4 linked regions of the Anolis sagrei genome follow. The protein of the gene in region 2 binds, or shares a complex with, the protein of the main gene of each other region. Links are inferred from orthologs where the notes say so. Each region holds a gene or a part of one and is shown on either strand. Other genes may lie near its edges. The genes, in order: THAP1, OGT, PHF20 and KANSL2.

Region 1 (8,018 bases), on a different chromosome or scaffold from region 2:
CAATGGGATTTAAGTTAACTGTAATCTATTGTATGAAGGATAAATTAGAAATAATTAAATATGTGATCAACTATTAAATGGTCAGATTTATTTTTCAAGGAAGATAACTCATAAACAAAGTCTAACAAAGGCACTTCTGGCCATAGCAGCTACCTTGGTCTCCGGGAACAACACTTCTAAATTATAAATCTTATCCCTTTGAGCCATGCCCAAGGTGGACTGTATATCTATATAAATAAAAATGTAATGTTCATTTGTGGGATTAACATAACTCAAAAACCAATGGATGAATTGACATAAAATTTGGCCACAATACACCAACTATACCAATGTATGTCGTTCACTAAAAAAAACAAAAAAAAAAAACAAAACAAAAATAACCGGAGAGAACTTAAAACCCCCACAAAGCTAAATGACTATACAGAGCATGCGTTAAAACAACACCCGCACCCCTCCCTCCTGCATGAGGAAAAAAAACCCAACAGCTTAGAGATAGGTGGCTTGACAGAGGGAGGGAAAGGTGGCCCATATAGCTCTCTCGCTACCCCCTGCCTCTCTCTTCCCAAAGGATTGAGAGAGAGAGAGGGAGGGAGGGAGGGAGGGAAAGAGAGAAGAGGACACCCTCCTCCAGATCCACCCCTCCCCTTCCTTTCCTTTCGCTTCCCTCTTGGCTGCCTGGGACTCGGGGCGCTTGGGTCGGCAGCATGGAGGCGCCTCCACTAGGCTGCCGGGAACTCACACGGGAGGGATTGTGTGTGTGCGCGTATGTGTAGGCACACACATACCTATATGCACACATATCTCTACATATTTCAACTCCTAGAAAGCTCACCCATAATGAGTTATGGGAAGGAATTCTGGGAAATGAAGTCCAGTATTCAAAGAAAGGACAAAAACAGGGAAGGCACGCACTGTGAATTAGGAAAGGCTGTCCAGGAAGACACAATCAAAACACTCCCAAAAGATGGCCATCCATTTTTACTTTATAGCAACCCTGGGCTATAATATCTACAATAATAATGTCTATATATCTATCATAATATTATCTATACGTCTATAATAATATATATATGTCTATGGTATCTATATGTCTGTAACAATAATATCTACAAGTCTATAACAATATCTGTACGTCTGTAATAATAATGTCTATATGCCCATAATAATATCTGTAGGTCTATAATAACATCCATATGTCTATAATATTATCTATCTGTCAATAATATCTATACATCTATAATAATAATACCTGTCTGCCTATATCCGTGACTATAATAATAATAATAATATCTATATAGGTATAATATAGGTATATGTATACATCTATAATAATAGCTATATAATATCTATAATAATAGTAATATCTATATGCCTATAATAATATCTATCGGTCTGTAATAATATCCATACATCTGTTGCCCATTTTTGCTCAAAAAATATTTAGCCCTGTGCTCCTTCTATTTTTTACTAGTTTTCTACTAATTTATGCAATGCTTTTGATATGAAATAAATAAATAAATAACATCTATAATAATAATACCTATATGCCTCATAACGCGTGGCTGGGTACAGCTAGTCAGACTATAAAACTGTATTTCAACTTTTTTTCTAGACTGGATTAAACCACATAGGTTTTTGATGTATTTGCATACCGCCTCTGCAGCCCTTAGGGAAGAGCAATGTCAGTACATGCCACGCAGCAGGTGCAAGAGGTGGTAAACTCATGTATTTTTTCACCAGGTGCACTTATTTAATTGTTGCTTGGGAAAATATATTGAAACTATGGTTGACCAAAATGCTTACACCCTAACCCTTAAAGCAAGATGAGGGAGCTACGCACACTGATTCAGACAAATTTCTACAGTAAAAGAGGGTGCTGCTCAGCTGTACACATAAATAAAAATGTTATGGATCTGTTTCATTTCTTTTGATGGCAACACATGCAAGGCAACCTCTAAATATGAATAGCAAGTAGATGCTGAAGAAGCATAGCAGATATTGTCATGATCTGTGGGGGAGGGGAAAGCTGATGGATATGTCAAAAACGTAAAAAAATGTTATTCTCTTCCCATAACATATACTGTTGAAGGTGTTTCTTCAACAGTATATTTTCCACTGGACAATGCCTAGTCATTTGAAAAATCATGTTATCATCTTTTTTCTCTTTAAAAATGAGCCTATATCGAAGCCAGCAAGGTTCCTCATTACTCAATTGTCCAATGCTTTCACTCTATCTGTAAGGTGTTTTGTGGGATTTTTTTTTTAAAAAAGTCAGGGCATAAATGTGTAAACAAAGATTTTTTTTTTGGTCGTGTCAGGAGCGACTTGAGAAACTGCAAGTCGCTTCTGCTGTGAGAGAATTGGCCGTCTGCAAGGACGTTGCCCAGGGGACGCCCGGATGATTTGATGTTTTTATCATCCTTGTGGGAGGCTTCTCTCATGTCCCTGCATGAGGAGCTGGAGTTGATAGAGGGAGCTCATTCGCCTCTTCCCGGATTTGAACCTGCGACCTGTCGGTCTTCAGTCCTGCCAGCACAGGGGTTTAACCCACTGCGCCACCGGGGGCTCCTAACAAAGATTATTAATATTATTATATATATACTCTACTTTATATTTCCCAGAGGGGACTCAATATATTCATAAGCAAGCATCCTGTAAAACCAGGAACGGGGAACCTTACACTGAGATGCCAGACCTTCTCGTTCCAATTTTAGTATATGTGCTGCCGAAGCGAGCACGCCAGACCTTCTCCAGGAGATCTTTATGCAGTGGTTTCCTAGATTTTGCAATGGGTTGCCATTTCCAAATGTACTGGCTCTCACACACAAATGAGCCAAGAGTGCATTGTGTGCACAGTAGTGATGCATTCAGACACCATGTGAAATAAATGTCTCCCTACCTTGTTTCCATCCTATGGGATCCTTGTGTCTGTAGTCTAGTTTAGCCTGAAGCTAAACTCTTCGCTGGACAGCTCCATTTAACTCATCTGAACTACAAACCTAGATCTCTCTATTGCAGCAAATTCCAGAGAAATCCCAGTCATGGCAGTCAAAGTGGACTCAAACAGAGTTAGTGCTTCCCTAAGATGCCTCTAACAAGGAGATGCTCATGATAATGTTTTTATGGTTTTGTACAATTTTTATATTTTACACAAATGTTTTTCACAATATTTGATGAGACATCAAATGTTGCCAACTGTGAACCGCCCTGAGTCGGTAAATAAATAAATAAATCTAAACAGTGGCTTTAATGCAGTTTGACACCACAAGTGCCATGGCACAATGAGATGGAATTGTGGAAGCTGTAGTTTTGTTGTTGTTCATTCGTTCAGTTGTTTCCGACTCTTCGTGACTTCATGGACCAGTCTACGCCAGAGCTCCCTGTTGGTCTCCACCACCCCCAGTTCCTTCAAGGTCAATCCAGTCACTTCAAGGATACCATCCATCCATCTTGCCCTTGGTCGGCCCCTATTCCTTTTTCCTTCCATTTTCCCCAGCATCATACTCTTCATATTCATCATACCACAGTTCAAAAGCATCTATCTTCCTTCGCTCAGCCTTCCCTATGGTCCAGCTCTCACATCCGTAGATGACTATGGGGAATACCATTGCTTTAACTATGCAGATTTTGTTGCCAGTGTGATGTCTCTACTCTTCACTATTTTATCTTGAGCTTGTTTGGAGGGTCTAGCAGGGGAGTGCAGCTATCGTAAACCCGGGACTGAAGACTGGAGACCTCGGTACACTCCTTCTATACCTGGGACGTTGTCCTCTTCCACCGAGCGCACAGCGGTGAGGGAGGAAGGGGACACCCGCCTAGCCAGCCAGATCAGCCGAATCAACCCTGGCAATCAATGGGGTGACAGATGTCGCAGTCAGATCGCCCTCACATCCTCTTGCCCTGACACGACAAAAAACAAAGCAAAACACTATTTTATCTCACCAAACGACATCTCCAATGATTCTGCAGCACTGAGTCATGGGAGTTTAAAGTGGTATCAAGCTGCATCATTCCTACAGTGTAGATGCATGCCCAATAACTTGTTAGTGACAGAAATAACACTCGGCAGCCATGATACTAACAGGAGCGGAGCGCAGGGAGCATACAACTCCTCTGCTGCACCAGCTCCACTGGCTGCCGATTTGCTACCGTGCTCAATTCAAAGTGCTGGCGTTGGCCTATAAAGCCCTAAATGGTTCTGGCCCAAGCTACCTATCCGAACGTATCTCTGCCTATGAACCCACCAGGACTCTAAGATCTTCTGGGGAGGCCCTGCTCTCAATCCCGCCTGCATCACAAGCATGGCTGGCGGGGACGAGGGACAGGGCTTTCTCTGTGGTGGCCCCTCGGCTGTGGAACACCCTTCCCATGGACATTAGATCAGCTCCTACGTTAATCGTGTTTCGAAGAAAACTAAAAACCTGGCTGTTTGAACAGGCATTCGGATAAACAGTGCAATGAATACGATGAATATAGGAACGGAATTATAGACGACAAATTGGATCACGATTCTAGTTACGAGACGTTAATGTGTTGTTATTGATGTGTCATTACTTTGTATATTATGCTCTTAATGGTTTTTAAATTGTATATTGTTATGATTGTCTTTTTGCTCTTGTTGTGAACCGCGTTGAGTTGCCTATGGGCTGAGAAACTGCGGTATACAAAGTAAGTAAGTAAATAAATAAATAAATAAAAAGACACTTGCAACTCAGTCCTACACTTATATAGAAATAGAGAAATACAAATATGTTCACCGTCTCAAGCTTCGTTTTAAAACCGGCCTAAAATCAGAAGCAAGGAAGGGACAACTTGAAGTAAAGCACTAAGCCAGCGCTTTCGATCAGGGTAGTAAGCCACTGCGCATGCGCGCGCGCCTCTTGGCGGGCCCAGGCGCCCAAATGCAGCCCGTGCGTCAAAGCCCCGAGCGCCGCTCTCATTGGCCGGGCCGAGCAGAAGCGAGGCGCACCAAAACATCGCGGGGAGGGACCAATCGCCAAGCCTGGCGCCGAGTTCTCGAGAGAGTTCGCCTGAAGCTGGCACCGCCATGTTGGAGTAGGGAGAGGCCACATCCCGCTGATGTCGTCCTTTAGGGTTTACCAATGTTTATTATTTTTTCAGAGAAGGACGCTAAGGCCCCGCTGAGGCCCTAAGGGCAGGGCGGCGCGGCCTATCCTCCTGTTGGCCCATTCCTGCCGAAAACGGGAGCAAAGCGGTGGCGGCCGAGGATCCGTGGCGAACGGCAACGAGAGGATGGTGCAGTCCTGCTCTGCCTACCGTTGCCGGAATCGATACGACAAAGAGAAGCCTATCTCTTTCCACAAGTGAGTGGGAGGGGCGGGGGCAGGAGAGCTCGCAAGGAGAGAGAGAGAGCGAGCTGTCCTGCCTTGAAAGGGAGGCGGAGCCAGAGCGCATGCGTGGACGAGTGCGCGCGCACGCTCCTTAGAGAGGGAGGGGGGTGCCTCAAAAAAAGGTCTCTAAGCAAAGAAAGCAAGGCTGGGGTAGTCGCGCGCGCACGCACGCACGCGCACCCCCTCTTTTTTTTCTCTCCCTCGCGCGCGCAGGCTTTCAACAGAACCGTTGGGACTGAGGCTTGACTTTGAGGCCTTGGAACGCGCGCCCGTTTCAACCGTCGCCTGACTGACAGTGACGTCGGAGGGCTGTCATTTTGTTTTCAAACTGGTCAAACGGAATAGTCTCTTGGTCATGTTGCTTCAAAGCTCCATTTGTTTTAGATATTTGGCCAACTGTCAGAAATTCATGCAGGTGAAGTCCAAAACACCTGGAAAAATCAGGCATAATGGCAATCATGGACTCATTCCTTATCAGGATAAGCCCTAAAAAAGGTGAAGGGCAAAATATGTACATGTCGCATGTGTGATATATTGTGGGATGTTAGGGGATTTCATGGTGTAAAATGAAGGCACCATCCATGACATCGGTGGACTTGTTGGTAGTCATTCAAGTATTTATTTCATGTCAAAAGCATTGCATAAATTAGTATAAAACTGATAAAAATAGAAGGAACGCAAGCAGCTAAATATGTTTTGACCTTACTTACTTAGGCAATCCCTCATAGTCCGAGGATGATGGTCCTCCAAGGTTGGTGGGTCTGTAGGTGACTGTGGAGCCCGATTCTTGACATGCATCTTCTCCCGCAGTGAGGGCATTGGTGGAAGACTGTCCCGGTTGGGGTTGGCTTGACGCACCTTCCTCTTGGCACGTTTCTCTCTTTCACCCTCCATTCGTGCCTCTTCAAATTCTACAGCACTGCTGGTCACAGCTGACCTCCAGCTGGAGTGCTCAAGGGCCAGGGCTTCCCAGTTCTCGTTGTCTATGCCAAAGTTTTTAAGGTTGGCTTTTATTTATTTATTTATGTATTTACTGCGCTTATATACCGCAATTCTCAGCCCAAGGGCGACTCATTGCGGTGTACAACATGAAAAAACAAGTGCAAATTACAAAACATAGTGCAAAATAATCTACAATTCATCATTATCAGAAAAACATCTTATCAAAACATCAACATTACTACCAAATTTCTACTACATTCCGAATCGTCTCATCGTCAACCCACAATCCGATATCATTTCCGTTGTTCCATTCCTATGGTCAAATTACCAGTCATTGCACTTCTTGGTCAAATGCCTTCTTAAATAGCCAGGTCTTTAACTTCCTGTGGAATATCAACAGGGAGGGGGGTAGCCTGATGTCCACGGGAATGGTGTTCCACAGCCGAGGAGCCACCACCGAGAAGGCCCTATCTCTCGTCCCCGCCAGCCGTGCCTGTGACGCAGGCGGGATCGAGAGCAGGGCCTCCCCGGAAGATCTCAAAGCTTTGAGCCCATCTTTAAATCTCTTTTCCTGTCCACCAACATTTTGTTTTCCGTTTTTGAGTTCAGAGTAGAGCAACTGCTTTGGGAGACAGTGGTCTGGCATCCAGACAATGTGGCCAATCCAGCGGAGTTGATGGTGGAGGACCATTGCTTCATTGGTGGTGGTCTTTGCTTCTTCGAGCACACTGACATTTGTCCGCTTGTCTTCCCAAGAGATTTGTAGAATTTTTTGGAAGCAGCGCTGGTGGAATCATTCGAGGAGTTGCATGTGACATCTGTAGATAGCCCACGTGTCGCAGGTTTATAGCAGGGTTGGGAGGACAATAGCTTTATAAACAAGCACCTTGGTATCCTTATGGATATTCCATCCTCAAACACTCTCTGCTTCATTCAGAAAAATGCTGTATTCGCAGAGCTCAGGTGGTGGTGTATATAAGTGTCAATGTTGACTTTTGTGGTGGCTTTTGTGGTGACAATTTCCGCTGCCAAGGTAGCGGAAATGGTCAACATTTTCTAATATTACACCATTAAGCTGTATCTCTGGTATTGGAGAGGGATTGACTGGTGACTGCTGGAAGAGCACTTTGGTTTTCTCGATGTTTTGACCAAAAACGGGCAACACCAATGGCATTGTCTGTGTTGTTGTTGTTTATTCGTTCAGTCGGTTCTGACTCTTCGTGACCTCCTGGACCAGCCCACGCCAGAACTCCCTGTCAGCCGTCACCACCCTCAGTTCCTTCAGAGTCAAGTCAGACACTTCAAGGATGCCATCCATCCATCTTGCCCTTGGTCCACCCCTCTTCCTTTTTTCTTCCATTTTCCCCAGCATCATTGCTTTCTCTAAGTTTTCCTGTCTTCTCATGATGTGGCCAAAGTACTTCATCTTTGCCTCTAATATCCTGCCCTCCAAGGAGCAGTCGGGCTTTATTTCCTGGATTATGGACTTGTTGGATCTTCTCGCTGTCCAAGGCACTCTCAGAACTTTTCTCCAACACCACAGTTCAAAAGCATCTATCTTCCTTCACTCAGTTTTCCCTGTGGTCCAGCTCTCACATCCATAGGTTACTACAGGGAATACCATTGCTTTAACTATGCGGATCTTTGTTGCCAGTGTGATGTCTCTACTCTTCATTATTTTATCGAGATAGGTCATTGCTCTCCTCCCAAGAAGTAAGTGTCTTC
Region 2 (8,006 bases):
ATGAATTATTAATAATATTATTATATTAAGTAATATTATGTCCTGCTTGTATTTCTCAAGAAGGTGAGATATAATAATGTATAATAAAAGGTACACCAGAAATAGCATTATTATCATTGTATGATAGTATTTTATCTTCACAAGAAGTGAATGAATTTATTTCCAACCTATTAACAGCAGTGAGACTGATAACTGCAAAAAAATGAGAAGATAAAAGCAAAATTCAACTGGAAGAATGGTATAGAGAAGTCTGGAACACAGTGAATAATTACTGTACTATTTTTGGATGATGGTTTGGTGTCAATTTAATATGTTTGTTTTAGTTAAAACCTTTCTATGGAACCAGGCCTTTTCTGAAATTCAACAACAGGCAATGGCCAGATAGATACAAGTACAGAAGAATCTCACTTATCCAACATAAACGGGCCGGCAGAATGTTGTATAAGTGAAAATGTTGGATAATAAGGAGGGCTTAAAGAAAAGCCTATTAAATGTAAAATTACATTATGATTATGTTACAATTTTACAAAGTATGCACCAATACATCATGTTTGACAACAAATCAACTGAAAAAGCAGTTCAATACACAGTAAAATTATGTAGTAATTACGGTATTTACAAATTTAGAATCAAACCAAACAAGGATTATTTATATCTCCAACAATGGACTGTGTTAGATAATAGAACGTTGGATAAACAAGACTCTACTGTAATTGTATATTTTTTGGAATGCTATTTTGGACCGGCAATATTTTAACATGGCCTAAAGGAAATGGAATTTTTGGGACCCTAGGATAAGTCTTTTTAATATTATCCTTAATGGCCTGAGAGTCAGGGAACTTTTAATGGTACGGTGGCATGTTATAATTTATTAATTTGTCAAATTTTGGCTTATGTAGTGTGTATCTTTGTTTTTGTTGACTCAAACAATGATGGATCTGGACCAAACTTGGCACGAATACTCCATATGTCCAAATATAAACACAGATAGCGTTTGGGGAAAATAGACCTTAACATTTGGGAGTTGTAGTTACTGGGATTTATAGTTCACCTACAATCAAGGAGCATTCTGAACCCCAACGACGACAGAATTGGGGCAAACTTCCCACACAAACCCTCATGACCAACAGAAAATACTGTGTATTATGGTGGTTTTTTGTGACCCTTCTGACACCCCCCTGGTGACCTCCCCCCCCCCCCGTCTTGACTTCCCACGTTGAGAAATGCTGCCTTAAGGCCACCCAGTCCAACTCCCTTCACCAGGGCAAGAAAACATAATCAAAGCCCTCCTAACAAAGGGCCATCTGGCCATTCACACACACAAATATATGTATACTAGCTGTCCCCTGCCACGCGTTGCTGTGGCCGAGTCTGGTGATCTGGAAAATAAAGTAATGAGAAAATGCTAGTTTTTAATATATGTAATTCCTTTATGCTTGTAGGTAAAGCAGTATTTCTTGCTGTTTCTTTGTCACTGTTGATGTGGAGATTGTTTGGTTTGCCTACTCGGAAACATATAATTGTCCTTCTTTAGGGGTCCCTTTCAAATCTAGGATATTATATCTGTGTGTGTGTGAATCATATACATCTATCTATATCTATGGCTGAATGGCTCTTTGTCAGGAGGGCTTTGATTATGTTTTCTTGCCCTGGTGAAGGGAGTTGGACTGGATGCCCTTAAGTATTTTCTGTTGGTCATGGGGCTTCTGTGTGGGAAGTTTGCCCCAATTCTCTCATTTGAGGGGATCAAAATGCTTTTTGATTGTAGGTGAACTATAAATCCCAGTAACTACAACTCCCAAATGTCAAGGTCTATTTCCCTCAAACTCAATCTGTGTTCATATTTGGGCATATGGAATATTTGTGCCAGGTTTGGTCCAGATCCATCATTGTTTGAGTCCACAGTGCTCTCTGGATGTAGGTGAACTACAACTCCCAAACCCATGGCCAATGCCCACCAAACCCTTCTAGTGTTTTCTGTTGGTCATGGGAGTCCTGTGTGCCAAGTTTGGTTCAATTCCATCATTGGTGGAGTTCAGAATGCTCTTTGATTGTAGGTGAACTATAAATCCCAGCAACTACAACTCCCAAATGACAAAATCATAATTTTTGAGTGATGGTCACTCCTTGTGTAGTGAGACGTTTTGTTGCCAAATTTGGTGTGATTTTGTTCATTGGTTCTTTTGTTTTTAAGGTACTCATTATGCACAGAGCATATATAGATAGATAGATGACAGATGCAGTATCAAAGGTTTGAAAGGGACCCCTAAAGAAGGACAATGATATGTTGCCTGTTCCAGGGTAGGCAAACCAGACAATCTCCACATCAACACTGACAAAGAAACAGAAAGAAATACTGTTTACTCACAAGCATGAAGACATTACATAGGTTAGAAAGTAACACTTTCTCATTATTTTCCAGATCACTATACTGGGCCACAGCAACGTGTGGCAGGGGACAGCTAGTATAATAATGTATTTATTGAAAAAAGCAAATACATCCTGGCAGCCTAAAGGACCTCCGACTTTAAATCCTCTTAAAGGAGTTCTATCCTTGTACTCAGCACAAGGCTGTGTTTTTTTAAACAGGGATTTTAAAGGGATTTATTCCAAAGGTCAGAGGCCAGAAAGCACGTGCTCGGCCTCCTTAGAAAACAACAGATCCCTTCTAAGAGAAACCTCAGCGATCAATTATTAATAGAGTGGAATATAAGGAGCAACCACACACACACAGACCCAGACACAATTGTTTCCGACCTCTCCCCCCTTTAGGCCCAATCCTCGGCGTGGCCTAGAAAACAGGCCCGAGACTGAGGAGGCCTCGTCCCAAGCGGGAGAAAATGAACAGGCAGGCCTTGACGAGGAATACCTGTGCTGTCGGCCACGTTCCCCACAGAGGCCGCCATGGCTTCCGCTGCTCCTCCTGCTTCGAGGCCGAAAGATTGTCTGACTGACTCACTCCGCGCCTCGCTTGCCCAAGCGGCGTCTCCTAAAATGGCGGCTGAGAGGCGGAGGGATGCAAGGCCTGGGCGGATCTTCTTCCAAGGAAAAGTAGTCCCTATTCCTAGTGCGGATGGGTGTGTTGTTTCCCTTTGTTTCCCTTCCTGACGTTACTCTGAGCCTTTCCTGCTCTGCTCTCTCTCGTATTCTCTCAACATTTCCAACAAGAAAAGGGACACGGAAAAAATATTGTCAAATCACCTCTCGGATCCACAGTATTCCTCCGCCAAACACTGCGACACATTGGCGCAGCGCGCATGCGTATTAGAGCTGCCTCTTCTCGTAAACGGAGGGGGTTCGAAGCGAGGAGTGACGGGAGAGAAAAGGGCGGGAGTTCGACTGCGGCAAGAGACCCGCAGCCCCGCCCCTTCTCCTCTCGCCACGGTGCAGTTTTCCCATAACCGGAAGTGACGGCATCTCAGGCGCCAGGGCACAAAATGGCGGATTCTACCTCAGTGATAACATTCCCAATGGGGGAAAATGTGGAAAACAACACACAAAAATAGCTATCTCGCACACAAAAATAAATAAGATAAAATAAATAAAGGACAACACTTAGAAAACAGGAAATCCTGACAGGAAACAACTAGGGCCAGCTAACACCTCCTAACAAAGGATTCCCCAGGGAGGAAGCTGCCAGGCCATTCAATGCTAATCAACATGGCTGTGCTGTCGCACGCTGGGCCTGTGCAAAAGGTCTGGAGAACAAGCCCTATGAGGAGCGGCTTAAGGAGCTGGGCATGTTTAGCCTGAAGAAGAGAAGGCTGAGAGGAGATATGATAGCCATGTATAAATATGTGAGAGGAAGCCACAGGGAGGAGGGAGCAAGCTTGTTTTCTGCTTCCCTGGAGCCTAGGACGCGGAACAATGGCTTCAAACTACAAGAGAGGAGATTCCATCTGAACACGAGGAAGAACTTCCTGACTGTGAGAGCCGTTCAGCAGTGGAACTCTCTGCCCCGGAGTGTGGTGGAGGCTCCTTCTTTGGAAGCTTTTTTTTTTTTTTGAAGTAAATTTTTATTAAAGTTTTCAGATAATATGGGGTTACAGGGAAAGAGTGGGAACAATATTCAAACAGAAAAAGAGTGAAAGAAATAAGGTAGACTTCTTTGGAAGCTTTTAAACAGAGGCTGGATGGCCATCTGTCAGGGGTGATTTGAATGCAATATTCCTGCTTCTTGGCAGAATGGGGTTGGACTGGATGGCCCATGAGGTCTCTTCCAACTCTTTGATTCTATGATTCTATAAGACTGTAGACAGGACACAAACTCTCTGTGCCCAACGGGATGCCGGGGCTGCCTCAGATTAAAGGCCCTTGGATTTCCTTAAAACAGAGTCTTTAGATTGCTTAAATGTTCAACAAAGTTCTTTATTATTAAAAACAAACAGGTACTTTAAGGCTTTCTTAATAGTCTATTGGATCTCTCTCAATCTTGTCCACAGGGAACAGGCACTATCTTCATAAACTGTAACTAATGGGGAAATCCTTAACTTCTAATCTGGACAGTCTGTCTTTGCCTCTGTTGGCGTGGAGCCCCTGCACCCGGTACCAACTGCTTCTGGCTTCCGCGAGCGACCCTTACCAAGCAGAGCTTTGTAGACTTCCAGGGGAAGGAGTTCAGGTTTCAGTGATGGCTGGCTGAAGTCCTTCAGCAAAGGAGCTGTAAGGCTGTATAACCCCAGTCAGGCGGTACACTGTATATCTCCCGGCCAAACCGTAGAAGACAAAGCTTTCTACAGGAGCTCTTGGTATTATGTCCTGCATGAAAGACTTCTCTGTGTGGACTGGACTCAAATTGGCTCCTATTCCCTCCAAAACCCAAAAAGGGGGGCGGGACTAGGGAACCTAACTATAATTGACAGGCAGCTTGCCCTATGATTGCAGCCAAAAGAAGCCTCTTATCTGCAGAGTCCCTGAAACTTAGGACTATAACAAACATTAAATGCAAACCAAACAAAATTGGAACTCCTGCCACAGTTGTACCTGCACAATAGCCAATTTAAACATTCACACTTGCCTCCAACAGACAATAATAATAATAATAATAATAATAATAATAATAATAATAATACTTTATTTATATACCACTCCATCTCCCCAAGGGGACTCAGAGCGGTTCCCAAGTAATATCACAAAACATCAGAGTAAAAACACTATAAGATTAACAAACAAAATATAAGCATAAAAATCGTCGCCATAACACACATATATAAAAAGTAATCCTGCCTGTTCAAGGCAATTAAAAATTTAAAAGGCCAGGCCAAGATTAGTGCAAGCCCCAAAATGCTAGGGCCCCCGAAAATTAAGTGCAATGCTATGGCAGGCAAAAATAATATGAGGTACGGGTCTGTGGCTGTTCATTCCAGGGCCAAATAGAGGAAAGAATCTGGGTAACTGGTAGGAAGAATAAGGCCGTATTAGACAATGTGTGGGGCTGAGTTAGAACTGGTCATTTTCAAAGGCTAGTTCTTTCTCCCACCCTGGACATTATTCCACATGTATATAAACTCCACTTGCCTCATTTCCAACAGACCTCACAACCTCTGAGGATGCCTGGCACAGATGTGGGTGAAATGTCAGGAGAGAATGCTTCTGGAGCGTAGCCATAAAGCCCGGAAAACTCTCAGAATCCCAATAAACTCTCCATTAGGGTTGCCTTTGGGCTCAATGCATTGAGGCAAGTGGGATGTCATCCAAGTCAGGCTAAATCTATCAAGTCTTCCTTCCCTCAAGACTCCTTTCCCCTGCTTTCCTTGTTGTTGTTGTTCATTCGTTCAGTCATTTCTGACTCTTCGTGACTTCATGGACCCGTCAGAGCTCCCTGTCGGTCGTCACCACCCCCAGCTCCTTCAAGGTCAATCCAGTCACTTCAAGGATGCCATCCATCCATCTTTCCCTTGGTCGGCCCCTCTTCCTTTTTCCTTCCATTTTCCCCAGCATCATCTTCTCTAAGCTTTCCTTTCTTCTCATGATGTGGCCAAAGTACTTCATCTTGGCCTCTACTATCCTTCCCTCCAATGAGCAGTTGGGCTTCATTTCCTGGAGTATGGACTGGTTGGATCTTCTTATGGTCCAAGTCACTCTCAGAACTTTCCTCCAACACCACAGTTCAAAAGCATCCCTCTTCCTTCGCTCAGCCTTCCCTAAGGTCCAGCTCTCACATCCGTAGGTGACTATGGGGAATACCATTGCTTTAACTATGCGGATCTTTGTTGCCAGTGTGATGTCTCTACTCCTCACCATTTTATCAAGACTGGTCATTGCTTTCCATACTTTGATATTAAACAAGGCTTTTTGAATTACATTTTCATTGCATTTCACATGCTTCAAAAGCCTATCCAGTAGATCCCAACATATTTATGAAAATCCTCTGTGGGCACAGTCTTGCACAGGAATGCCCCCAAAGTAGCCCCTTTCAGGTGGGGCCATGTGCCAAACAGGGATGGGGTGTTAGATCCCAACCTTATTTCCCATCTTCACCGCTATGATTCTGCACTGAAGGGGACAAGAGACAAGGGCCTGATTTAATTTGATTAATGAATAGCAATACTATGAAGAATGTTGTTGTTTATTCGTTCAGTCGTTCTTCGAGACCTCCTGGACCAGCCCAGGCCAGAGCTCCCTATCGGCAGTGGCCACCCTCAGCTCCTTCAAGGTCAAGCCAGTCACTTCAAGAATACCACAACTTAGACCCTGGGTGTCACAAACAGATGAAATCTGGAGAGATTCAAGAGGAAAGCAGCACACTCCCAGACTCCCAGGGCTTCCTCAATGTCTTCCAAAGGTCCTCCATGCCTCAACCATTGTTTGTTTGGGGCTTTGTCCTCCCCCCCCCCCCCCCGGTTGTTGTTGCTTATTCGTTCAGTCGCTTCTGACTCTTCATGACCTCCTGGACCAGCCCACGCCAGAGCTCTCTGTCAGCCGTCACCACCCCCAGCTCCTTCAGAGTCAAGCCAGTCACTTCAAGGATCCCATCCATCCCTCTTGCCCTTGGTCGGCCCCTCTTCCTTTTTCCTTCCATTTCCCCAAGCATCATTGTCTCCCCTAAGCTTTCCTGTCTTCTCATTATGTGGCCAAAGTACTTCATATTTGCCTCTAAGATCCTTCCATACAGAGAGCAGTCAGGCTTTATTTCCTGGAGGATGGACTGATTGGATCTTCTGGCGGCCCAAGGCACTCTCAGAACTTTCCTCCAGCACCACAGTTCAAAAACATCTATCTTCCTTCGCTCAGCCTTCCTTATGGTCCAGTTCTCACATCCATAAGTTGCTATGGGGATAACCATTGTGTTAACTATGCCTATCTTCATTGCCAGTGTGATGTCTCTACTCTTCACTCTTTTATTGAGATTGGTCATTGCTCTCCTCCCAAGAAGGAAATCTTCTGATTTCCTGGCTGCAGTCTGCATTTTATTTTATTTTATTTGCCATATTCTCAGCCCAAAGACGACGCAGGGCAGTTCACAGTTGGCAAAAAATAAAACAATCAACAAATAAAACAATCATAAAATACTGTTAAAACATTTAGCATAAAATATAAAAATATAAAAAAGACCATACAAAGCTGTAAAAACATTGTTGTGGGCATCTCCTTGTTAAAATCATTATTCAATTGCATCGTCAGGTCGTTCCATGATTTTGTGTAATTATTCTGAGTTAGCAAAGGCCTGCTAAAAAACCCCTGGTTTTAACCTTTCTTCGAAAAGTCAGGAGGGAGGGGACCAATCTTATATCCCTGGGAAGGGCATTCCACAGTCAAGGGGCCACCACTAAGAAGGCCCTGTCTCTCGTCCCCGCCAACGCATCTGCAGTAATCTTCATGGCTAGAAATACAAATTCTGTCACTGCATCCACGTTTTCTCCCTCTATTTGGCAGTTATCAATCAGTCTGGTTGCCATCATCTTGGAGTTTTTTTTGGGGTTTTTGGCGTTTAACTGCAATGTCCTCATTGTGAAAGAAACACAGTACAGATCCAGAATAAATCTCTATAGTCACTTATGGACCCA
Region 3 (7,298 bases), on a different chromosome or scaffold from region 2:
TCAATCTGTCTATACAAGAGTAAACATACACTAATACATTAACATTTTGGTGCCCTCTCAAGACATCCCAAAACTACCGCCTCAGCCATTGTGCCTAATAGAAGCCATCTAAGTATGTGTTTTCCATTTCTGTTATCTCTTATCTAAATAGCCAATGTGGTATAATGATTTGAATATTATGCTAGGACATTGGGAGACCAGGCTTCGAATCCTCACCCGTCCTGGAAACCCAATAAGGCCACATCTACATAAACAATGTAATGCAGTTTCAAAGATTGTTTTGAAAAATCACCACAATATTTAGTACACCAGGCAGGGGCCAAATTTGGCCCTCTGGGTTTTTTGGACTTCAACTCCCACCATTCCTAACAGCCTCAGGCCTCTTCCTTTCCCCCCTCAGCCGCTTAAGCATCTGAGGAGGAAAAGGAAAGGGCCTGAGGCTGTTAGGAATGGTAGGAGTTGAAGTACAGAGTTGAAGTACAGGAGTTGAAGTACACCCAGAAGGCCCAAGTTTGCCTGAGGGGAAAAAGGAAAGGGCCTGAGGATGTTAGGAATGGTGGGAGTTGAAGTCCAAAACACCCAGAGGGCCCAAGTTTGCCTGAAGGGGAAAAGGGCCTGAGGCTGTTAGGAATGGTGGGAGGTGAAGTCCAAAACACCCGGAGGGCCCAAGGTTGCCTGAGGGGGTAAAGGAAAGGCCCCAAGATTGCTAGGAATGGTGGGAGTTGAAGTCCAAAACATCCAGAGGGCCCAAGATTGCCTGAGGGGAAAAAGGAAGGCGCCTGGGGCTGTTAGGAATGGTGGGAGTTGAAGTCCAAAACACCCTGAGGGCCCAAGTTTGCCTGAGGGAAATAGGAAAGGGCTCGAGGCTGCTAGGAATGGTGGGAGTTGATGTTCAAAACACCCGGAGGGCCTAAGTCTACCCATGCCTGTCCTACACTTTCCAGTCACCCCTTAAAACTACTTACTACACAGGGCCATATAACCCAGAATATCAAGGTGGAAAATAATAATAAAACTAATAATAAAACTTTATTTATATACAGCTCTATCTCCCCAAGGCGACTCAAGTAACAAACACCAAAACATACATAAACATAATATTATCAAAACAACACAAATATATTAAAAATAATCCTGCCTATTTGTGCTTGTGACACAACACTGTTATAGTACAAGTTTAGCATCCTTTATCCAGAGACTGAAAATATTTCAGAATCAGAAATTCTCTATTTAAGTGTCTTAAGATAGTGGTGCTTTTGCTTTCTGGTGGTTCAGTGGACATATACTTTGTTTCAGGCACACAAGGATTAAAATATTTTACCCCTTCAGGTTCTGTATATAAGATGTGCACGACACATACATGGAATTTCATGTTCAGACTTGGCTCCCATCTCCAAAATATCCCATCATGCCCATATATACAATACAGGCAGTGCCCAAGTTATGAGGAAGTTAGGTTCTGTAGGTCTGTTCTTAAATTGGATTTGTATGTAAATTAGAGCAGGTTCATTTTTTTAAGCGTAACTCCATCCAAATGTGTGTCCAAATATGTGTGTGTCTGTATTTGAAGCTTGAAACCACTTTAATTGCCATATAAAGGTAAAGGTACAACACAAAGGTAAAGGTACAACACATATAAAGGTAAAGGTACAACACAAAGGAACAACACAAAGGTAAAGGTTTTCCCCTGACATTAAGTCCAGTCATGTCCAACTCTGGGGGTTGGTGCTCATCTATTAATATTTATTTATTTACAACTTTTATATTCCGCCCTTCTCACCCCACAGGGGACTCAGGGCGGATTACAATGTACACATATATGGCAAACATTCAATGCCAATTTGACATACAAACATATACAGACATACACAGAGGCTATTTAACTTTTTTCTGGCCACCAGGGGAGCTGTCGCTTTCATCGTCCATCTGCGACGCTGATGAAGCACTTCCGCATTCCCTGCATGCTTCCCCGCTGGAATGCTTTGCTGGAGTCTTCTTTATGGCCTCATAAATCAGTTAATTTAGCCTCCCCACACTTTAAGGTTGTACCTTATTTTCCTACTTGACAGATGCAACTGTCTTTCGGGTTGCAAAGGTTGACAACAGGCTACACACAATTGTTTGGAAACCCACTCCAACCCGGGCTGGCTTCGAACTCATGACCTTTTGGTCTGAGTGATCTTAATGCAGCTGACACTCAGCCAACTGCGCCACAATCCCGGTGCGCTCCATTTCTAAGCTGAAGAGCCGGCATTGTCCGTAGAATCATAGAGTTGGAAGAGACCTCATGGGCCATCCAGTCCAACCCCCTACTAAAAAGCAGGAAAATAGCATTCAAAGCACCCCTGACAGATGGACATCAAGCCTCTGCTTAAAAGCCTCCAAAGAAGGAGCCTTCACCACATTCTGGGGCAGAGAGTTTCACTGCTGAACAGCTCTCACACTCAGGAAGTTCTTCCTCATGTTCAGATGGAATCTCCTTTCTTGTAGTTTGAAAATCCCACAATATATGCTTTAAACTGTGTTATCTGAGTCCTGCCATACAGGCCTGTAGCGAGGGGGGAGGGGTTAGGGGATCAACCCCCCCCCCGAAATGTTTCAGATTTTTTTTAAAAACCTGGTTTACTCATGAATTTTAACTGGTGAACCAAATCCCCATGCTAAGTCTATGAGATGCAAAAAATTAAGAGTCCCTCCAGAACTGTAAGCACTATCTCAAGCAAATATTGACAATTTATTCACACTGTCATTACTTGCAGGAATAGCCAATGTTGTGAAGCAACCAAGTTGGGGTGTGTGTGTTGAATGCTCTCATTAAGGAGGCCAGACTTGGTGGAGGTGGTTGACAGGGGCGGAGCTGCAGGCTATTGAAGGCTGCTCTGCCCTTTGCTGTGCTCTTTGCTTCAGCGTGAGCTAGGAGGCAGGCTTCAACACCCCCAGGGCAGCTCACCCATTACGCAAAGTAAGCATTTGCAGTATAGTTGATTTTGCCCAGGGGCGCTCTTGAGGAAAATAGACATTGACATATGCAAGTTGTAGCTACTGGGATGTATGTTGTTGTTCATTCGTCCAGTCGTCTCCGACTCTTTGTAACCTCATGGACCAGTCCACGCCAGAGCTCCCTGTCGGCCGTCACCACCCCCAGCTCCTTCAAGGTCAGTCCAGTCACTTCAAGGATGCCATCCATCCATCTTGCCCTTGGTCGGCCCCTCTTCCTTTTGCCTTCCACTTTCCCCAGCATAATTGTCTTATTTATTTATTTATTTACTTTGCTTGTATACCGCAGTTTCTCACCCCGTAGGCGACTCAACGCGGTTCACAACAAGAGCAAAAAAGTCAATCGTACAACATACAATATTTAAAACCATTAACAGCCTAGTATACAAATAATGACACATCAATAACAACACATTAGCATCTCGTAACTAAAATCGTGATCCAATTCGTCATCCATAAATCCGTTCCTATATTCATCGTTCAATTGCACTATTTATCTGAACGCCTGTTCAAACAGCCAGGTTTTTAGTTTTCTTCGAAACACGATTAACGAAGGGGCAGATCTAATGTCCATGGGAAGGGAGTTCCACAGCCGAGGGGCCACTACAGAGAAGGCCCTGTCTCTCGTCCCTGCCAGCTGTGCTTGCGATGCAGGCGGGATCGAGAGCAGGGCCTCCCCAGAAGATCATGGCGCTCCTTTATCTTCTCTAGGCTTTGCTGTCTCCTCATGATGTGGCCAAAGTACTTCAACTTTGTCTCTAGTATCCTTCCCTCCAGTGAGCATACATACATACTGGGATGTATAGTTCACCTACAATCAGAGAGCATTCTGAACTCCACCAGTGATGGAACTGAACCAAATATGGCACACAGAACTCCCACAACGAACAGAAAATATATATCAGTGATTGGTTGGGGGGGTGGGGTGCCAAAATACTGTTTGCTTACCGTTGAAAATTACCTAGGGCCGCCGCTGAATTACCTAGGGCCCCCCGCGAAATTTTCAACCCCCCCCCCCGAAAATTTCAACCCCTCCCGAATATTTTTTCTGGCTGCGGCCCTGCTGCCATATATCCCAGTTCAAAGAGAATCATGTGGGATTTTATCCAGCAGCGTCGAAGGGCCGTCCAAAAGTCAGCACCAACTCCCTGTGTTCTGCCTCAGAGAGGAAAAAGGCTGTGAAGTGACTGACAGTTGGTTCCCTTCTTAGGCCAACCGTCGTCCCGTTGACGCCACGCCCCCTCGCCTTGGCCACGCCCCCTGGAGGACCCTCCTTCTTCTCTCTCTAGGCAGGCGGGCGAGCGAGCTAGGGGCGCCGCAGCAGCCGTGGCGGCCATTTTGTGGCGCTGCTGCTCACAGCGGAGCGCGCGCGCGGAGGAGGAGGAGGACCCGCTCCCTCGCTCGCGCCTCTTCCCGCGCGAGACCCCCGGTAAGGACATGGCGCTCCTTCATCATCTTCCAAGTCGTTGTTTGGATGGAGGGAGAGGGGAATAGAAAGCGTGGCTCCCTCCGCGGCCCTCACAAAGGCGGCGGCGGCGGAGAGGGGCGGGGACCAGCCGCGGTTGTGACTGTGGGAGTCCCGGGGCCTGGGAGGGGTGGAAGGGTTACTTGTGCCGCAAGGGAGCCTCCCTCACGACCTGCTCTTCAGGGAAAGCGAAGGAGGGAAGCTGGGTAGCGGGCCCGCGGGCGCCTCTAGCCGGGCGGGATGTGGGCGTAGGGCTCGGCGGCCTGCTCTCGTGTGAGAGGCCGCTTCCTCTCCTCTCCTCGCCACGCGTCCCGCCCTCTTCCTTTCCCTTTCCCTTTCCAACGGTGGCCCGCAGCCAAAGGGGAACGGCACCAGCTGCGCCTTCCTTGAGCCTTCTCCGGGATGATGGCTTTCGAGGATAGCCGTAACGTGACCTTGATCTTCACCAGCCACGCTTCGGCATCAACCCCTGTCAGACCCTTTATGATTAGACCAATGTGGGTTCTGCATTAAGCCTACACATTAACCCCTTTCAGAACCATTATCGTGGCCAGCGTGGGTTCTGCCTTATCCACACACATTAACCTTTTGCAAAATCTTTGTCATGACCAATATGAGTTCTACATTAACCCCACACATTAACCTGCCCCCCTTCCAGCCAGGACCTTTATCATGACCCTTGTGGGTTCTTTGCTAATCCCACGCATTAACCCCTTTCTAAACCTATAAAGAACCTATACCAGGAATGATAAAGGTTTAGAAAGGGGTTGGTGCATGGGATTAACACAGAACCCACAGTGGCCATAATAAAGGTTTAGAAAGGGGGTTATTTGACACGACAAATAAACCCCTTTCTAAACCTTTATTATGGCCACTGTGGGTTCTTTGTTAATCCCATGCACCAGCCCCTTTCTAAACCTTTATCATTCCTGGTATAGGTTCTTGGCTCTTTATTAACCCCAAGCATTAACCCCTCTCAGAACTTCTATTATGACCAGTATGGGTTCTGCATTAACCCCACACATTAACCCCTTTCTAAATCTTTATCACAACCGAGGTGGGTTCTGCGTTAACCCCTTTCAGAACCTTTATTATGACTGGTGTGAGTTCTGTTTTAACCCCACATATTAACCCCTTTCAAAACCTTTATCACAACTGATGTGGGTTCTGCAGTAGTCTCACACATTAACTTCTTTCAAATCGTTTGTCATAACCGGTGTAGGTTCTTAATTAATCCCATGTGTTAACTACTTTCAGAACTTTTATTATAACTGGTGTGGGTTCTGTGTTATACACAATATTAACCTTTTTCAAAACCTTTGTCATGACCAATATGGGTTCTGCATCAACCCCATACATTACCCCATCAGACCCTTTATCATGATACTTGTGGGTTCTTTGCTAATCCCATGCATTAACCCCTTTTTAAACCTTTATTATGGCCACTGTGGGTTCTGTGTTAATCCCATGCATCAATCCCTTTCTAAACGTTTATCATGCCTGGTATAGGTTTTTTTTATTAACTCCACACGTTAACCCTAAGCATTAACCCCTCTCAGAACCCTTATTATGACCAGTATGGGTTCTGCATTAACCCCACACATTAACCCCTTTCTAAATCTTTATCACAACCGAGTGTATTCTGCATTAACCCCCTGCATTAACCCCTTTCAGAACCTTTATTATGACTGGTGTGGGTTCTGTATTAACCCCATGCATTAACCCCTTTCAAAACCTTTGTCATAACCGGTGTAGCTTCTTCATTAATCCCATGCATTAACTACTTTCAGAACTTTTATTATAACTGGTGTGGGTTCTCATTAACTCCTTTCAAAACCTATATCATAACTGATGTAGGTTCTTTATTAACCCCACACATTAACCCTTTTCAGAACTTTTATTACAACTGGTGTGGGTTCTGTGTTAACCCCACACATTAACCCCTTCCAAAATCTTTTATCATAACTGGGGTGGGTTCTGCATTAACACCCCACACATTAACTCCTCAGTGTGCATCAGTGCTCAGTGGTTTCTATAATCATAACCTCAAACTTGGTTTCAAGATTTTCTTTGTAAGCATTTGCATAACAAAATTTTTATTTATTTATTTATTTGGTGCATTTGTTAACCGCCATTCTCAGCCCTTTAGGGCGACTCATGGCGGTGTACAACATACATAAAAAGGCAATTTACAAAAAGGCAATTACAGAACAACATATTAACAATACAACAATTATAAAGTTACACTAAATAATCCGCTTCGTCTCATAGTGGAATCATAACCAATCTCATATTCCTTGTTCCATTCCAGTCATCTTTACCACATTATTATAGCACTTAATTAAATGCCTTCTCGAACAGCCATGTCTTAAGGCTTTTTCGGAAGGACATGAGGGAGGGCGCCTGTCTGATGTCTGCAGGGAGAGTGTTCCACAGCCGGGGGGCCACCACCGAGAAGGCCCTCTCTCTCGTCCCCGCCAGACGTGCCTGTGAGGCAGGCGGGATCGAGAGAAGGGCCTCCCCAGACGATCTCAAGGTCCTCGTGGGCTCATAGGCCAAGATGCGGTCCGAAAGGAAAACCACTTTCTTCAGTACTGGTTTGAATCTGCATTAAATGGCTGGCCTAGATGGGGCCTCAGTGGGCTTCCATGAGAATTTGAACTATGGTCTCCCAATGTTCTAGTACAACATTCAAGCCACTTTATCACACTGGCTCTTTAGATTGGGGCCACCTTTTTTCTTTTATATGATAAAATTGTAGCACTGGGTTTTATTTTCATTTGCGTAGTAGCTGTCTTTAGTCAGTATCTGTTTGAGAGCAATTTTCTGTAAAAAA
Region 4 (7,844 bases), on a different chromosome or scaffold from region 2:
TGAGAAAGTGGATGTTCAATCCATGGGGTCCAGAGTAAGTATGGGCCCACTGCATCTGTCCATTCCTGCTATGTATCAAATCTGATGCAAGAAATACTTATCTTCTCTCCACCTGTACTCATATTGTCATGACAGCCTTGGATATGGTGTAGTTTAGTGCACGCAATGTTACCAGCAGATAAAAACCATTAGCCACAAAAGTTGTATAGCACGGGGTTGTATCTCTGGCCTCAAACTATGTAGATTTGAGGGGTAAATTCTGGGGAGGGCATTTTGTGCACTTAATCAGTTGCACAGGAAAACAACAAAGGTCTGCTTTCTGAGCTCATACAGGCCAGCTGCAGAGACCAGGATGATTCCCTGAGAATAGTTTGTTCTATGTGGCAGTCTACACCCTTGCAAGCAACATTATGTCAATCCCCTATAATTATCCCCTATAATTTGATTGGAAATCTGAATCAGTGTGGAATAGATAAGAACGCTGTCAGATGGAACTATTACACTATGCAACACAATTTTTTGTTCCTGAGTTATAAATGTCATTTTCTAATTGGTTCTGTCATAAAAACAGAAAAAAATATTAAACTACAAACACTTGAGTTTTTGCAGTATATCCTACAGCACATAGTTTTTCAATGAGTGTCTCACAGAGTCTCAACCATTCAGGATAGTTTGTAGAAGCCACAAAAACAAAGTTTCTGGAATATAAAAACTACTTCCCAAGAAAGTACTGCAAAATTAAACAGGAAATAACATCTTCACAAAATAAAACCCAGAAACATTTTTTTTTCAAATTTTGTTACATAATATTGGTTGAAAACACTGTTTGAAAAGTCGTCATCAGTAGCTTCAAACTGGAAGGAGTTCTCAAGTGGAGAGCTTCGGGTTTCTCTTCCAGCGCTTTTACAAGTGAAAATTTTTATCAGTTATTCAGATGACAGGATAGAGGAAATCCTTAGCAGGTTTACAGATGGCTAAAAAATGGAAGGGGTGGTCAACACACCGGAGGATGGGAACACTTCAGAAGAAACTTGTTGAAGTATAAAATTAGATACTAAAGGAAGTCAATAGTATATATTGAAAATTCTACATATAGAGCACAAAACCCAGAAGCTGGTGATACTTGGCTCAGCCGTACAACATTTGAAAAGAACTTTGGGATGATTGTTGATCATACATTGAACACAAGCCAGCAGTGTGATGCTGCAGCAAAAAAGGTGAAATCTATTCTAGCCTACATTAATAGAACCATAGTTTCCCAAGTTGAGGAAAGTAATAGTCCCACTATATTCTGTGCTGATCAACCCTGATCTACATTCAATTCCAGGTACCTCATTTAAAGGATTATGGGTTGAAGCAAAGATAGATAATGAGGATAAGAAATATGGAGAGCAAAATGTGAGAAGCTGAAGGAGGTGACCACGTTCAGCTTGGTGAAGAGAAGACTGAGGGGTGACACGATTGTAGTCTAAATACCAGTGCTATTGCAGCAAGGAAGGCCTACCCTCTGCAGCTCTAGAAGGTTGGACCAGATTTAACAGTTCGATTTTGATTGAGCATTTGAAGTGTTCAGCAATGGAACCAACTGCCTAGGGCCTAGAGAGGTGGTGGGGTCTCTTCCTCTGGATGCCTTCAGAAAGAGGCTAGATGGCTTCCTTCTCGAGATGTTTGATCTTGCACTGAGGAGGGAACTGGATTTGGCGGCCCATGAGATCTATTCCAATTAAATGGCTGAGTTGCTGGCAACCCAATGTGTGTGCCACTGTTTTGTCTGAGTTCTAATTAATAAAATCTGTGGCTGTGTTCTCCGTCTTGTTCCTGTGCTGATAGATAGGGATGTATTTCTATCATCTAGCCTTGGAATGAGGCTTTATGCAGATGGTTTAGTGGAAATGCCCTCCACTGTTTTCATACAAAGAGGTAGGCTTAGGATGTGTACATAATTGGAATTGCTGTCAAGGTATACGAGATGTTTAACTGCCATCAGGTTGATTTTGACTTAAGGTGATCATAGAACCATGAAGTTGGAAGAGATCATGCAGCAATCCAGAAACCCACAATCAAATAGTCATTCAGCTTCTACTTAAAGATCTCCAGAGAAGAAAAGTTCACTACCCTGCAAGACAGCATATTCCATTGCTGAACAGCTTTTATCGTCAGAAAGTTCTTCCCAATGTTTAGGTGGAATCTCTTTTTCTGCAATTTGAATCTATTGCTCCATCATGTCCTAAGAATGAGGGACCACCAAGTCACCTTGCCATCAGCCACGCTGTATATGAGGAAGTTGTTGCCAAGTAGTAATGCCAGTTACCACTTGGCATTAAAATATTGGCTCATTTAACTGCTACGTGGCTGGCATAGGTGTCCTGGGTTTTCTGTTCCCAAATTGAAATGAACCTGCTACACACACACATTGCCATATGTCCTGTGTTCACAAAATGCTGAAGGCAGGGCAATGGAAAGTAGAACGATGGGAGCATGAACCTAAGCATTCAAATGTTTATTGTAGGCTGCCAGTGGCATAAGCACTGCTTCTTAAACTGGGTGAAGACCTCAAATGGGGTCCCCTTGGCTCAACATCAAGGTTGCGATAAATTTCTGAACATTTATACAAATCTGCAGTGTTTACAGTGGACTTGGCAAAAAATACTTCAGACGTACACAGAAATGAAAAAATGAGCTTGATTAGCAAGCCTTGCAAATACTGATTTGTTATCATGCCTGATTTCTATACCCATTTAGTGTCATGTAAAAAGTTTTTCGATCCAAAAAGGGGTCATGAGTGGAAAATGGTTTAAGAAGCTTGGTATCAACCTCTGGCCACATCATGAATGAAAGATAAACCGACTTAGGGCTTGGATACAGAATGTGTGTGAATGAAGGTATTTAGCAAATCTAAGAAGTCTGTAAACCACCGTAGCCATACAAAAGGTAAAGTTAGGTTTTTAATATAAAATATGTGTATGCGTGTATAAAGCATTCGAACTTGGGGCCCTCATGGCGGGCTGGAGTGGGGTGGGCGGACCAGGAGGAAGGGGGTTCTCACCAAGCCACCTCCGTGCCCTTTACTCCCCTTTCGGAGGCAGAAAGTGAAGGAGAGACCAGAAACCTTTGAATGCTAATTGGGTCAGGATGAGATGGTGGATGAGAGAGAAAAGTGTATCAATTAGACTCCGTATTGCCTCCTCCTGATACAGAATCCTAGAGCCAGAAGAGAACCCCCAGGGCCATCCAGTCCAACCCCCTGCCATGCAAGAAGGTACAATCAAAGCACTCCTGGAAGACAGCCTTTACAGAAAAGCCTCCAGAGAAAGACACTCCACCACACTCAGGTAGCCTATGCTACTCCCCAGGAAGTTCTTCCTAATCTTTTCAGTTTGAAACTCTTTTTCTGCCATTTGAAACCATTGCTCCCTTGTGGCCTGGTCTCTAGAGCAACAGAAAGTCAGTTTCCCCCCTTCTCCTCCTCAATGGGACACCCTTTGAAATCTTGAAACACAGTTCTCATGTTCCTCTCAACTTCCGGACCCAGCTTTCATACTATTACCTAAGGGACGCCTTCTGCATCCACGAAGACCCTGCAACCCAATTCCAGCGGATACAAAGGGACGGCTGTATTTAAAGAGAGAGCTTCCTGTATTGTCAAAGGCTTTCATGGCTGGAATCACTAGGTTCTTGTGGGTTTTTTCGGGCTATATGGCCATGTTCTAGAGGCATTTTCTCCTGACGTTTTGCCTGCATCTATGGCAAGCATCCTCAGAGGTAGTGAGGTCTGATGGAATTAGGAAAATTGGTTTATATATCTGTGGAATGACCAGGGTGGGACAAAGGACTCTTCTCTGCTGGAGCTAGGTGTGAATGTTTCAACTGACCACCTTCATTAGCATTTGAAGGCCTGGCTGAGCCTGGGGGAATCTTTTGTTGAGAGGTGTTAAGATGTGCCTGATTGTTTCCTCTCTGCTGCTTTGCTGTTGTAATTTTAGAGTTTTTTAATACTGGTAGCCAGATTTTGTTCATTTTCATGGTCTCCTCCTTTCTGTTGAAATTGTCCACATGCTTGTGGATTTCAATGGCTTCTCTGTGTAGTCTGACATGGTGGTTGTGAGAGTGGTCCAGCATTTCTGTGTTCTCAAATAATATGCTGTGTCAACAAAAGATTCCCCCAGGCTCAGCCAGGTCTTCAAATGCTAATGGTGGTCAGTTGAAACATTCACACCTAGGTTCTTGTGGGTTTTTTCGGGCTATAGGGCCATGTTCTAGAGGCATTTCTCCTGACGTTTCGCCAGGAGAAATGCCTCTAGAACATGGCCCTATAGCCCGAAAAACCCACAAGAACCTAGTGATTCCAGCCATGAAAGCCTTCGACAATACATTCACACCTAGCTCCAACAGAGAAGAGCTCTTTGTCCCACTCTGGTCATTCCACAGATATATAAACCCATTTTCCTAATTCCAACAGACCTCACTACCTCTGAGAATGCTTGCCATAGATGCAGGCGAAACGTCAGGAGAAAATGCCTCTAGAATATGGTCATATAGCCCGAAAAAACCCACAAGAACCTAGAGAGCTTCCTGTTTCAAAAGGACCTAAAAAAGCGAGACGCGCCCTTCCTTCCGGCGGAAGGGAAAGCACGCGGCCGCCCTGCTGTCACTCAACCTCAAACCCCGCCCTTGCTTACGCGACAAGCATCGCAGCCAATAGACCAGTCGGACTCTTCCCGCTCTGAGCAATGTCCATTAGCCTGTATCGTTCAGTGGGCGGGGAGAAGGAAGGAAGGAGAGAAGACCGGCACCTCATTGCTCCACCTCATCTGAGTGACGCCTCTTTTAACCAATCGCGGCCGTGCTCAGGCCGTCTTCGGATTGGTCGGCGAGCCGAGCGCTGGAGGCCTTGCGAAGGTGTGAGCTGAGAACACGAGAGGGAAGGTAAGATGGCGGCGGAGGGGCCCGAGGTGAGGCGGCGGGGAGAAGAAGGCCTGCTCGGATTGTCTGGGCCTGAGAGCGGTTGTAATGGCCGAAGGAGGCGGAAAGACAAGGAAAGGGTCCCTGTTACTCAGCTGGTTAGGGGCAGGGCCTGTACTTCACGTCTACCCGTTAAAACAACGGCTTCGTTTGCTTTCCCTGCTGGAAACAGGCGATCTGTAGTTAGTAAGCCTGGTGCCAAGGGAGACGAGGGAGGGGACACAGGGGAAGGAGGCAGGAACGCGCGCCTCGCCTTCGAGGGCGTTGAAGCAGAGGAGGCCTGGAAAATGGATCCAATTCAGATGGAAATTGGGAAAGGGTGGCTGCTACTTCTTACAGTGAGCTCTCGGTATCCGCGGAGGTTTGCTTCCACCCGTGGGCGCTGAGTATAGTGGTGTTCCTTAGTTCAAACTAGCCAGTACACTCGGCGTTATCTGCGCCTGCATTGGTTCCGTGGCTCTTCAGAACTTACCTACCATGTAACTTCTCTATGGGAATGATATGGGCGCCTGGGAGGCCCCTAAAAGCCTTTCTATTTCTTTCCTTCCCTCTCTCCCCCTTCCCTCTCAGTCACGTGACAGAGAGCCACTTCACCTAGCAACAGCCAATCTGCTTTGTTCCTTTCCCTCACCTCTAGTTGTTGTTTTTTTAGTCAAAACCCCTCAATTATTTTAAATTGGATTATGATAGGCACATGTGCTATGTTTGGTCCAGATCCATCAAGCTATAGAAGAGCCTTTGTGGTATAAGCATACATGCATGCACACACACACACATACATTCACTTTAATTATATACTAACCCCCGGTGGTGCAGCGAGTTAAGCTGCTGAGCTGCTGACAGAGAGGTCGGCAATTCTATTCCCGGGAGCAGGTTAAGCTCCCGTTGTTAGCCCCAGCTTCTGCCAACCTAGCAGCTCGAAAACATGCAAATGTGAGTAGATCAATAGGTGCCACTTCAGTGGAACGTAACAGCACTCCATGCAGTCATGCTGGCCTCATGACCTTGGAGGCGTCTACGGACAATGCTGGCTCTTCGGCTTAGAAATGGAGATAAACACCACCTCCAGAGTTGGGCACAACTAGACTTAATGTCAGGGGAAACCTTTACCATTGGTACCCAGTGATGACCAGCTTTTGTATTTGGTAAGGATAAAAGTCATGCATACTTTTTCGGTTTTATTAATAGTTCCATTAGAAAATGTGTAAGGATGTGGATAAACTACCACTCACCTTCTGCCATTGCCCCCTTCCACCCACCCCGCAGTATTTACAGTTGGTCATAAGGGATCTGTCTGCCAAGTTTAGTCCAGATCCATCATCAGTGAGGATCACAATGGTCTCTGTATGTGGGTGGGCTGCAGCTCTCATAATCTCCCCCCCCCCCCAAAAAAAAAGAAACCCTCCAGTATTTTCTGTTGGTAATGGGAGTTTTGTGTGCCAAATATCCCAGATCTAGAACAACAACAATATTTATTGCGGTCCATAGACCCAGCAGTAAAACCAGCAGTCATTATAAATTCTCCCATCTCAGGAGAAGTCCATTGTACAAGATAAATCTACATTGTATTGTCGAAGGCTTTCATGGCCGGAATCACTCAGTTCTTGTGGGTTTTTTCGGGCTATATGGCCATGTTCTAGAGGCATTTCTCCTGACGTTTCGCCTGCATCTATGGCAGGCATCCTCAGAGGGTGAGGTCTGGAGCTGGGAAAAAAGAGAGGGTTTATATATCTGTGGAAAGACCAGGGTGAGACAAAAGGCTTTTGTAAGATGGGCTAGGTGTGAATCTTTTCAATTGACCACCTTGATTAGCATACAATGGGCTGACTGTGCCTGGAGCAAACTCTTAATGAAATGTGATTAGATGTCCCTGCCTGTTTTTCTCTCTGTTGTTTTAATTTTAGAATTTTTTAAAACTGGTAGCCAAATTTTGTTCATTTTCATGGTTTCTTCCTTTCTGTTGAAATTGTCCACATGTTTGTGGATTTCAATGGCTTCTCTGTGTAGCCTGACATGGTGGTTGTGAGAGTGGTCCAGCATTTTTGTGTTCTCAAATAAAATGCTGTGTCCAGGTTGGTTCATCAGGTGCTCTGCTATGGCTGATTTCTCTGGTTGGAGTAGTCTGCAGTGCCTTTCGTGTTCCTGGATTCTTGTTTGGGCGCTGCGTTTGGTGGTCCCTATGTAGACTTGTCCACAGCTGCATGGTACACGGTAGACTCCTGCAGAGGTGAGAGGATCCCTCTTGTCCTTTGCTGAACGTAGCATTTGTTGAATTTTCTTGGTGGGTTTGTAGATAGTTTGTATGTTGTGTTTCCTCATCAGCTTCCCTATGCGGTCAGTGGTTCCCTTGATATATGGCAGGAACACAGACAGGTCACACCGTCTACAGAAAACCCACACACACAGATAGATATCTACATAAAAACTCCAACCATCACCCAAGTCAAAAAAGAAGCACCATCAAAGCCTTGGCAGACCGTGCAAAAAGAATCTGTGAACCCCACCTCCTCCAAGATGAACTGAACCACCTCAACTGGGCTCTACAGGCCAATGGATACTCCACCTCAGACATCAGAAGAGCTGCAAGACCAAGAACAAGCCACAAGAGTAAAGATGAAGATCCACCCAGAGGAAAAGTGTTCCTGCCATATATCAAGGGAACCACTGACCGCATAGGGAAGCTGATGAGGAAACACAACATACAAACTATCTACAAACCCACCAAGAAAATTCAACAAATGCTACGTTCAGCAAAGGACAAGAGGGATCCTCTCACCTCTGCAGGAGTCTACCGTGTACCATGCAGCTGTGGACAAGTCTACATAGGGACCACCAAACGCAGCGCCCAAACAAGAATCCAGGAACACGAAAGGCACTGCAGA

Evidence for each region.
Region 1: OGT (region 2) and THAP1 share a complex: the UniProt entries of both Homo sapiens proteins name them as parts of the THAP1/THAP3-HCFC1-OGT complex. The link is inferred for Anolis sagrei from reciprocal best matches to the Homo sapiens genes OGT and THAP1.
Region 3: OGT (region 2) and PHF20 share a complex: the UniProt entries of both Homo sapiens proteins name them as parts of the NSL complex. The link is inferred for Anolis sagrei from reciprocal best matches to the Homo sapiens genes OGT and PHF20.
Region 4: OGT (region 2) and KANSL2 share a complex: the UniProt entries of both Homo sapiens proteins name them as parts of the NSL complex. The link is inferred for Anolis sagrei from reciprocal best matches to the Homo sapiens genes OGT and KANSL2.

Annotation. Positions count from the first base shown.
Region 1 is NC_090022.1:156,694,226-156,702,243, reverse strand, and holds the start of THAP1 (THAP domain-containing protein 1), read left to right. Parts: upstream 1-5,014; 5' UTR 5,015-5,253; coding exon 5,254-5,324; intron 5,325-8,018. UniProt on the Homo sapiens protein: DNA-binding transcription regulator that regulates endothelial cell proliferation and G1/S cell-cycle progression.
Region 2 is NC_090030.1:21,093,323-21,101,328, forward strand, and holds the start of OGT (UDP-N-acetylglucosamine--peptide N-acetylglucosaminyltransferase 110 kDa subunit), read right to left. Parts: upstream 3,004-8,006; 5' UTR 2,907-3,003; coding exon 2,870-2,906; intron 1-2,869. UniProt on the Homo sapiens protein: Catalyzes the transfer of a single N-acetylglucosamine from UDP-GlcNAc to a serine or threonine residue in cytoplasmic and nuclear proteins resulting in their modification with a beta-linked N-acetylglucosamine (O-GlcNAc).
Region 3 is NC_090024.1:207,253,680-207,260,977, forward strand, and holds the start of PHF20 (PHD finger protein 20), read left to right. Parts: upstream 1-4,290; 5' UTR 4,291-4,426; intron 4,427-7,298. UniProt on the Homo sapiens protein: Methyllysine-binding protein, component of the MOF histone acetyltransferase protein complex.
Region 4 is NC_090022.1:137,522,444-137,530,287, reverse strand, and holds the start of KANSL2 (KAT8 regulatory NSL complex subunit 2), read left to right. Parts: upstream 1-4,837; 5' UTR 4,838-4,926; exon of another isoform or gene 4,927-4,952; intron 4,953-4,967; exon of another isoform or gene 4,968-5,060; intron 5,061-7,844. UniProt on the Homo sapiens protein: Non-catalytic component of the NSL histone acetyltransferase complex, a multiprotein complex that mediates histone H4 acetylation at 'Lys-5'- and 'Lys-8' (H4K5ac and H4K8ac) at transcription start sites and promotes transcription initiation.